2 linked regions of the Rattus norvegicus genome follow. The protein of the gene in region 1 interacts with the protein of each later gene in a pairwise test. Links are inferred from orthologs where the notes say so. Each region holds a gene or a part of one and is shown on either strand. Other genes may lie near its edges. The genes, in order: Keap1 and Hsp90aa1.

Evidence for each region.
Region 2: the proteins of Keap1 (region 1) and Hsp90aa1 interact in a two-hybrid assay, tested with the Homo sapiens proteins (2 studies listed by BioGRID). The link is inferred for Rattus norvegicus from reciprocal best matches to the Homo sapiens genes KEAP1 and HSP90AA1.

Annotation. Positions count from the first base shown.
Region 1 is NC_086026.1:28,051,019-28,055,294, forward strand, and holds the start of Keap1 (kelch-like ECH-associated protein 1), read right to left. Parts: upstream 3,025-4,276; 5' UTR 2,749-3,024; intron 2,608-2,748; exon of another isoform or gene 2,468-2,607; intron 1,430-2,467; 5' UTR 1,383-1,429; coding exon 744-1,382; intron 1-743. UniProt on the Homo sapiens protein: Substrate-specific adapter of a BCR (BTB-CUL3-RBX1) E3 ubiquitin ligase complex that regulates the response to oxidative stress by targeting NFE2L2/NRF2 for ubiquitination.
Region 2 is NC_086024.1:135,526,264-135,530,861, reverse strand, and holds the start of Hsp90aa1 (heat shock protein HSP 90-alpha), read left to right. Parts: upstream 1-1,721; 5' UTR 1,722-1,779; intron 1,780-2,362; coding exon 2,363-2,524; intron 2,525-2,622; coding exon 2,623-2,989; intron 2,990-3,355; coding exon 3,356-3,489; intron 3,490-3,716; coding exon 3,717-4,037; intron 4,038-4,188; coding exon 4,189-4,354; intron 4,355-4,502; coding exon 4,503-4,598. UniProt on the Homo sapiens protein: Molecular chaperone that promotes the maturation, structural maintenance and proper regulation of specific target proteins involved for instance in cell cycle control and signal transduction.

The sequences.
Region 1 (4,276 bases):
TTTTTAGGACTTAAAAAACAAAAACAAAACAAAACAATAGCTTCAATAGCCAGGTGTGGTGGTACACACCTTTAATTACTAAGGCAGGTGGATCTCTCTTAGTTCAAGGCCAGGCCAGTCTACAAATTGAGGTCCAGAACAGACAGGACTGTTACACAGAGAAACTCTGTCTCAAAAAACAAAAGTAAAAGAAAAACAAAAAAAGCCTCAGCTAGAGAAGTCTGCCAAAAAAAATAAAATCTAAGGTGCTGGAGAGATGACTCAGCAGTTGAGCGCACTACTGACTGCTCTTCCTGAGGACCAGAGTTCAAATCCCAGCACCCACGTGGCAGCTCACAACTGTCTGTAACTCCAAGACCTGACCCTTTCACATAGAAAAACATTCAGGCAAAACAATAATGCACACAAAATAAAGGTAAATGAATTTTTAAAAAAAGATTTAAAAACAAAAGTAAAACCAAGTCCTGGGGCTCTGCGTTCCATTCCAGTATCTCTTAAGTATACTGGGAGTCTGTGACTACAGTACTTGGGAGACTGACACAGGAATCAGGAACTTAAAACCATCCTCAGATACACAACCAGATTAGGGCCAGCCTGAGCTACATGAGGCCCTATGGAGAAAAGGAGGAAGAAAAAAAGAAATCTTCCTCCAGCCTTGAATGGCCGCTCCAGTCTCGGAGAGCACTATGCTGGCCCATCCCACTTCTTGTGACAACTGAGCCCAAACCCCAGGTCTTACTCACCTCCCCGAAGTGCATGTAGATATACTCCCGAGCACGCTGGTGCAGTTCCGTGCAGCCGATCTGCTCGGCGAAGTTGGCGATGCCGATGGCGTTGCTGGGGTCCAGCTGCTGCACGAGGAAGTCGCTGCAGGCTCGGACCACGCTGTCAATCTGGTACATGACTGCCCCGTTCATCACATGCAGCACACACTTCTCGCCCACGGAGATGGAGGCCGTGTAGGCGAACTCAATTAGCCTCTCCATGACCTTGGGGTGGATGCCTTCAATGGACACCACCTCCATGCCCTGCTCCCGAAGCCCGTTGGTGAACATAGCTTTAAAGACTGGGCTGGAGGAGGCCAGCACCACTTTGTGGGCCATGAATTGGGCAGCTGGGATGTCCTCATATTTGACCTGCAGGGTCACGTCACAGAGCTGCTGGCTCAGCCGAAGCTCGTTCATGATGCCAAAAGCCTGCTTGGTGTGATCCTCTAGTGTGTAACTGAAGGTTCGGTTACCATCCTGCGAGGGCGTCACCTCCGCCTTGCACTCCGTGGATGCATACATCACCGCGTCCCCTGCCCCCTCCGGGCACTTTGACCACAGGGGCAGGAACTGGCTGCTGCGGGGAGCCCCGCTAGGCTTGGGTTCGGGCTGCATGGGGTTCCTGATGACAAGATACAGTTCCACCACTAGCGATTAGGGGCCTGGAAGGAGGGAAGAGTACAGGGCTGGATTAGGCCAGACCCTGCCACATTTTTTTTTTGTTTGTTTGTTTGTTTCTTGTTTTCTTTTGAGACAGGGTCTTAGCCTAGGCTGGCTTCAAACTCACTATGTAAACAAGGCTGTTTGCTGTTTCCTCCCGTGTACTGGGACTACAGTTTGTGTCACCATATCTAGCCAAGCTTTAATTTTTTTTTTTTTTTTTAGACTAAGCAATGATTTCTAGAGCAGTTTTTGTCAAGCCAAGTGAACTGGACACACCCGGCTCCATTCAAACTGACTTCTTCTCAAATCACCGGCCGTTCCTTTTCCTGCTCAGAATCACCCAATACCTATCCCAGAGCCCAAGAGTGGAAACCCAGCTCCTCAATGGCCTGTAAAACTCCACACCCCCTTCTAGACCTCTTCACTCAGTTCCAGCCATGCTTCCCTTCCCTTCATCCGACATGTCAAATCCCTTTCTTCAACACCTCACCAAAATTTACAGAGCCTGCCATTTATACTTGCAACTGTTCTGAGCTCCAGGGACACAGCAGGAAGACAGAAAAGGCCTGAAAATAAAGCAAGGTCTGTATAGAAAACACTAGGCGAGCACCAAGGCCCTGGGCAGAGTGTGCAGCCTCTGGAACACCCACGGTGAGGGATTCAGGAGACCCTTGGAGACCTGGGGCCAGGACAGGAGTTATGCTTTCAAAGGAGATGTGGGGACACAGAGAGGGCCTGCAGCTGGCTCCCCAGGTTCTGGGGCTCAGCCTGGAGTCGCGTCCCCCAGTGTTATGTCTACTAGGTCACCATGGGGGGGACGACGATGAAATGCTCCAGGGGCCCCAGTAAGTGAGCGACTGTCACGCGTGACCACACTGCCGGAGCTCGGGCCTGGCATTGCGCAGAGGGCTGAGCAGCAGCCACCCGGTACCCGGTGCCTGCTCCAGCGGCCTCCCTAACGCTCGGAGGCGCAGCCCTGACGCCTGGAGAGCCCGCAGGGCCTGGTCCCGGGCCGCGGCCCGGAGCGGCGCACTCACCCCGCCATGGCCGCGCTCTGCCTCCGCCTCCGCCGCGCGGGTCACGGTGACTAAGCACAGCGCACCACCCTGTCACAATAAGAGTCCCGGGGCGCCGGCCGCGGGCGACCCCTACCCTCGACTCGCCTCGGCCACCACCCTACGCGGGTGCACGGGCTGGGCGCGGGTGCGCACTTGGAGGGGTCACGCGCTTCCCCCCACCGCGTGCACGTCCCCACGCGCGACCGCGGGCGGCGCCCGGAGCTGGCTCCCCACCGCATCCTCCGCGGGCGCTCGCTCACCTCCGTCCCACCCCCCCGGGTGTCTCTGTTGGTGCCACGCGTCCAATCCGCACCGCCGGGCCGCCACGCGCCGCGCTTCCGGGAGGAGCCGAGGGCAGCCAGGGGGCCTCGGATCGGGGCAGCGGTGCTGCGGGGTCCCGGGCGGCACGCGTGGGAGGAGCGGGAGGGCGGAAACAGGCGGCGGGCACGCAGAGGCGGTTCCAGCCCTTCCTGCAGGTGCCGGGCGGAGGGAGCAGGGCGTGGGTCAGGGCGGCCCTAGGAGCCTGCCTCCGGGTTAGGCTGTCCAGTACGCCTCTAGCTGAACCTGCCCCAGCGGACCCTCCCACACCCTACCCGGCCCAGCCAGACCTATGTACCTGGTTGAGATACAGATCTTCCTTTAAAATAACTTTTTAATGGTTTCTATTTCAATTCGCATTTTACTTTATGTGTGTGGGTGTTTTGCCTGCGTGTATGTCTGTGCCCCGTGGGCGTGCAGTGCCCCCTAAAGTTACAGGTTATCCACCCTGTGGAGAGGGGGAATTGAACTCTGGTCTTCTGCAAGAGCAACAGGTACTCTTAACTGCTGAGCCAGCACCCCAGCCTTATAACTTCTTTTTTGAGAATGGCCTCATTACATAGCCCTGGCTGGCCTCTGCCTCTCGCTCTGCCTCCTGCGTGCCGGGGTGAGGGGGAGTGGGGGGGTGGGGGTTTAAAGGCTGTGACACCACGCAGGGCTTTGTGTACATTAATTTATTTGTGTGTATGCTTGTGTGTAGAGGTCGGGGGATGACTGGCAGAAACTGATTCTCTTCCCCTATGTGGAGCCTGCAAGGTGCAACAGCAGCCCACTTTCCTCTCTCCTCTCTCTGTAGTCATTTTTTCATGAGGAGAGGTGTGGCATTCATCTGAGGGTGTTGGAGAGTTGGAATGCCCAGAATTGCCTTTCTTTGCATTTCTCATTATATATATATATATATATATATATATATATGATAAGAGATTCTTATTTGCTACAAAGGCATTTATGAGAGAAAATTATTTTCTTGACCTATAAGATTTGGCCAATTCTGGCAACTAAGTTCCATCCCTGTTTCTCACGTGGTAGTAAAAAACTTACTCCTCCAAGTTGTCCTCCAACCTCCACATGCACACATAAATTAATTTTGGAAAATAAAGTTATTATTGGTGCTGGAGAGATGGCTCAGTGATTACAGCACTGACAGCTCTTTCAGAGGACCCAGGTTCAATTCCCGGAACTGGTATTAGGGTCAAAATGAACGCCTATAACTCCAGTTACAGGGGATCCCATACCCTTTTCTGGCTTCCACAAGCACCACAACCATGAAGACAAAACACCCATACACATAAAATAAAGATAAATAAAAAAATTTAATATTATTTGACTGACTGGTGCAGACAAGATGTCATTTTTAGCCCAGGCTAGCTTTGAACTCTGTCTCCTGTCTCCATCTCTCCAATGGGATTACAAATGTGTATTCTGGGTTTTTTCTTTCAATTTATTTTTAATTTCATGTTCATTGCTGTT
Region 2 (4,598 bases), on another chromosome or scaffold:
AGTAAACTGTTTCTACTTAACAGCTCTCCTTAGCAGGCCACTCAGATAGTCCAGAGAGCAAGGCCAGACAGAGGTCCTTCCTCAACTGCTATAAAAGGGCCTCACTCTCACTCCCTGGGGTGGGGGCTAACTTTCTTCCTCTTCCTGAGGAATTGCCTGCTGTGCTTTTGTCCACAGAGGACAATCTTCCTTCCTTCCTTCCTTCCTTCCTAAACTTTTAATTATTATTCTATGTGCGTTGGTATTTTGCCTGCGTGCATGTATGTTTGCGTGAGGGTGTCAGAGATTAGAATTACCGTTTTGAGCTGCCACGTGGTCATTGGGAATTGAACCTGGGTCCAGTCTATGCTTTAACCACTGAGCCATCTCTCCAGCCCTTTTCTTTCGAATCTTAATGAGTGATCGTTTTCGTCAGCAGGAAAAGATGCGGAAATAGTGGGTGGGAGTAACATAAAGGAAAGGGAAATGGAAGCCAAACGGAAGTCTATTAAAGCCTGTATTAAACAAGGAAACTATCTTTTGGGTCACGTTAATCGCCCAAAGTAACGTCATGACACCCTAAGAAGGTGCCTCAAAAACCAGGGTAGTGTGTTGTGTATGAGCGTTTTGACTGCGTGTGTCTGTGCACCATGTGTGCTCCTGGTGCCGCAGAGGCCAGAGGGGACTGTATTTTCTGACTGTAGTTACTGGTGCTTGTGAGCTGCCTTAACGTGCGAGTTTGGTATCACTAACTGCTCCTAGCTGACTCTTTAGCCCTTTACACTTATTTTCACATTGTGCGAGTGTGTGTGCGAGTGTGTGTGTGTGTGTGTGCACATGAGTGTCACAGGCGCTGAGGGTTAGCTCCCCACTCCCAACCCCCGCTATCTGGGTGGCAGATATCAAACCCAAGCACCTCTACTGGATGAAGCCATCTTTCTGGGCCCCCGTAATTACAATAAGTTAAGGTAGCACAAATTTGACACTAAAACCCTAACAACGCCCAAGTTTGAGGGTCATGGGTTTTGGTCAAAGAGAAACCCCCAAGCACTATGGACAGATTTGGAAGATCCACCGTGTACTACCCACAGTAAGGCTTCAGGACAGGCTCCAGAGGGGACAGCCCTAAAATTCAGACAGTGGTACCACGCGCCAGACCGCGCAACAAGCAGAACCCGGGCTCGGGATACGCCCCACCCATCAGGTGGAAGCCAGGAGTCAGACTCGCGTCCCGCCGGGAGTCTACGTCCCCAATGGGAGCCCGAAGACAGGGGGATCTTCTCGCCTCAGACACCTAACGCGCCGCAGAGGGCACTGAGGTTCACACAGCAACGCAGCCTCACATGGGAACATCCCTTTCGCAGACCCCACCCCCACCCCCCGAGAAGAGGAGCCCTAGAGTGCTCACATGGCGGCCTCTAGCGCATGCGCTGGTCACCTTGTCCGCGCTCCACGAGAGGCGGCGCGCGCGCGGCCCGGGAAGGCGCCAGGCCCGCCGAGAATCCCGGACTGCGCATGTCCAGAGCACCTGGCTGTGGAGGAGGGGCTCGCGTTCGTTCTCCGCGCGGGTTCTGCGCGCTCCTGGTGGAGGGGCGGGGCCCGTCCAGTGCGCAGGCGCAGGCGCGCGGCCGAGGCGACGGTTGGGGAGGGTTCTTCCGGAAGGTTCGGGAGGCTTCTGGAAAAAGCGCCGCGCGCTGGGCGGGCCCGCCTCTATATAAGGCAGGCGCGGGGGGCGGCGCGCCAGTTGCTTCAGTGTCCCGGTGCGGTTAGTCACGTTTCGTGCGTGCTCATTCTGCCAAGGTGAGTGTCCTCGCAGAGGGGCTTAGTGGGGGATTGGGGAGAGAGGTTGACGGATGTAGACGCGGCGGCGGGGTCGGGGCCGCCATCCGAGCTCCCTCAGCCCGCAGAGGTGGGCGGCCATGCCTTCAGACCCTAGGCCCCAGGCGGCCGCTACGCCCCAGGCCCAGGATGCGGTGATGGCCGCCGAGGAGGAGCGGCGGCGGAGGGTCGGGGGCGAGGCGAACGTTCGGCTCTGGCCTTTGCCTAGGCCTCCCCGGCTCTCGCCGGTGCTCCTGAGGCGCGGGCGGAGGAGGGAGGCGCCATAGCGGCGGCTTGTGGGGGGAGGGTGGCCGTTAGGAACGGCGTGCGTGGAGCCGCTTGGGTCCGAACGTCCTCCCGGAGGCGCGCACATGCGCCTCGTAATTACCGCATTCTGAAATGAGGTCATCCCTTTGTCATCCACCCCCCCCCTCGGCCTCTTCTATTCCGTCCCCGTCTCAGACCGAAATAGAGTTCCTAAGGAATTTCTATAGGAAAGGGGTAGGTAGGCATTAGGACGCCTGCAGACATTCTGTGAGGCTTTAACACCGTCCCGTGTTCCCAGATGCCTGAGGAAACCCAGACCCAAGACCAACCAATGGAGGAAGAGGAGGTCGAAACCTTTGCCTTTCAGGCAGAAATTGCCCAGTTAATGTCCTTGATCATCAACACTTTCTACTCGAACAAAGAGATCTTTCTGAGGGAGCTCATTTCCAACTCCTCAGACGTGAGTATATCACTTGAAGAATTGAATGGATGTTGGTTTCAGTAAAAATTTCACCTTGAGGCTTGTCTGTGTGCGTGACGTTTGTCTTCTCTTAATAGGCTCTGGATAAGATCAGATACGAGAGCTTGACCGACCCTAGTAAACTGGACTCGGGGAAGGAGCTGCACATTAATCTCATTCCCAACAAGCAAGACCGAACCCTCACTATTGTGGATACTGGCATTGGAATGACCAAGGCTGACTTGATCAATAACCTTGGCACTATTGCCAAGTCAGGCACCAAAGCCTTCATGGAGGCTTTGCAGGCTGGTGCAGATATCTCTATGATTGGCCAGTTTGGTGTTGGTTTTTACTCTGCGTATTTGGTTGCTGAGAAAGTGACTGTCATCACCAAGCATAATGATGACGAGCAGTACGCCTGGGAGTCCTCAGCTGGAGGATCCTTCACTGTGAGGACAGACACAGGTAGGCAGAGGCCAGGAGTGCATTCAGAGTGCAGTGGGTGTCTGGTTATTTTAGGTCAAGTGTTTAAGAGGGTTAACTGGGAGAATTGAAGAGTTTGGAGCAGTCTGGGATAGTCTTAGTCCTAAGCCCTCCAACAAAATTGTTAATCTCAAGGGAGCTTCAAGGACTGGGTGGTTGGAGGAAATGTGGAAAACGTATGGCTATTTGCTCAGTAGCAAGGAAGTTAAAGCTCTGGAGACTGCATTTGTGTGGAAAGTTAGCTGCTAGGAAACACTGCACGTTTTTATCTCCGCTCCAACAAGCACTGGGAGAAGACTTTGAATATTAGCCATTTGAATTCATAGTCCATAACCTTTTCTTTTTCAGGTGAACCAATGGGTCGTGGAACAAAGGTTATCTTGCATCTAAAAGAAGACCAAACTGAGTATTTGGAGGAAAGGAGAATAAAAGAAATTGTGAAGAAACATTCTCAGTTTATTGGCTACCCCATTACTCTCTTTGTAAGTTTTTCTTTCAACTGCAGGGTAAATTGATATGATAACTGAGACAACTGAGCATGGTCTTAGCATTCTGTAAATAATAAGCCTGTTTGAAACAAGTTTGGGTCTGTGCTCTGGAGGACTGTTGAGAAATTATAGAAAACACTGATGAGTTTCTTAATTATGGACATTTATTTCTTAGATCTTAAATAATTTGTGACACAGTAATGAAGTGACTTTTTTTTAAGGTGGAGAAGGAACGTGACAAGGAAGTCAGTGATGATGAGGCTGAAGAAAAGGAAGAGAAAGAGGAAGAGAAAGAAAAAGAAGAAAAGGAGTCTGATGACAAGCCTGAAATAGAAGATGTTGGTTCTGATGAAGAAGAAGAAGAGAAGAAGGATGGTGACAAGAAGAAAAAGAAGAAGATAAAGGAAAAGTACATTGATCAAGAAGAACTCAACAAAACAAAGCCGATCTGGACCAGAAATCCTGATGACATTACGAATGAAGAATACGGAGAGTTCTACAAGAGCTTAACCAACGACTGGGAAGAACATTTGGCAGTAAAGGTGAGTGACTTAAAGCAGGTTTTCGGGTTGACTTAACGTTAACCTTTACACCCACTCAACCTATAGAAGTGCTTCTAAGTGTAACATAGCTCAGTGGAAAAGTTGATTCATTTTTGTCCATGGCAGTTAAAGGTATTTCATTTTATTGCAGCATTTTTCTGTTGAAGGACAATTAGAATTCCGGGCTCTTCTTTTTGTCCCAAGACGCGCTCCTTTTGATCTATTTGAAAACAGAAAGAAAAAGAACAACATCAAGTTGTATGTTCGCAGAGTTTTTATCATGGATAACTGTGAGGAGTTAATCCCCGAGTATCTGAGTAAGTACGGATAGAAAGAATAAGCACTATTGGCAGGGGTTTTGCATAACTTGTTTGAGGCCCTGGGCTCAGTCCTCTCGACCAGCCAAAAATGATTCCTTAGTTTTCGGAATGATTAAGGTAGGTGTCTTGTTCTTTTCTTCCACAGATTTCATCAGAGGGGTGGTGGATTCTGAGGATCTCCCTCTAAATATTTCCCGTGAAATGCTGCAACAAAGCAAAATTCTGAAAGTTATCAGGAAGA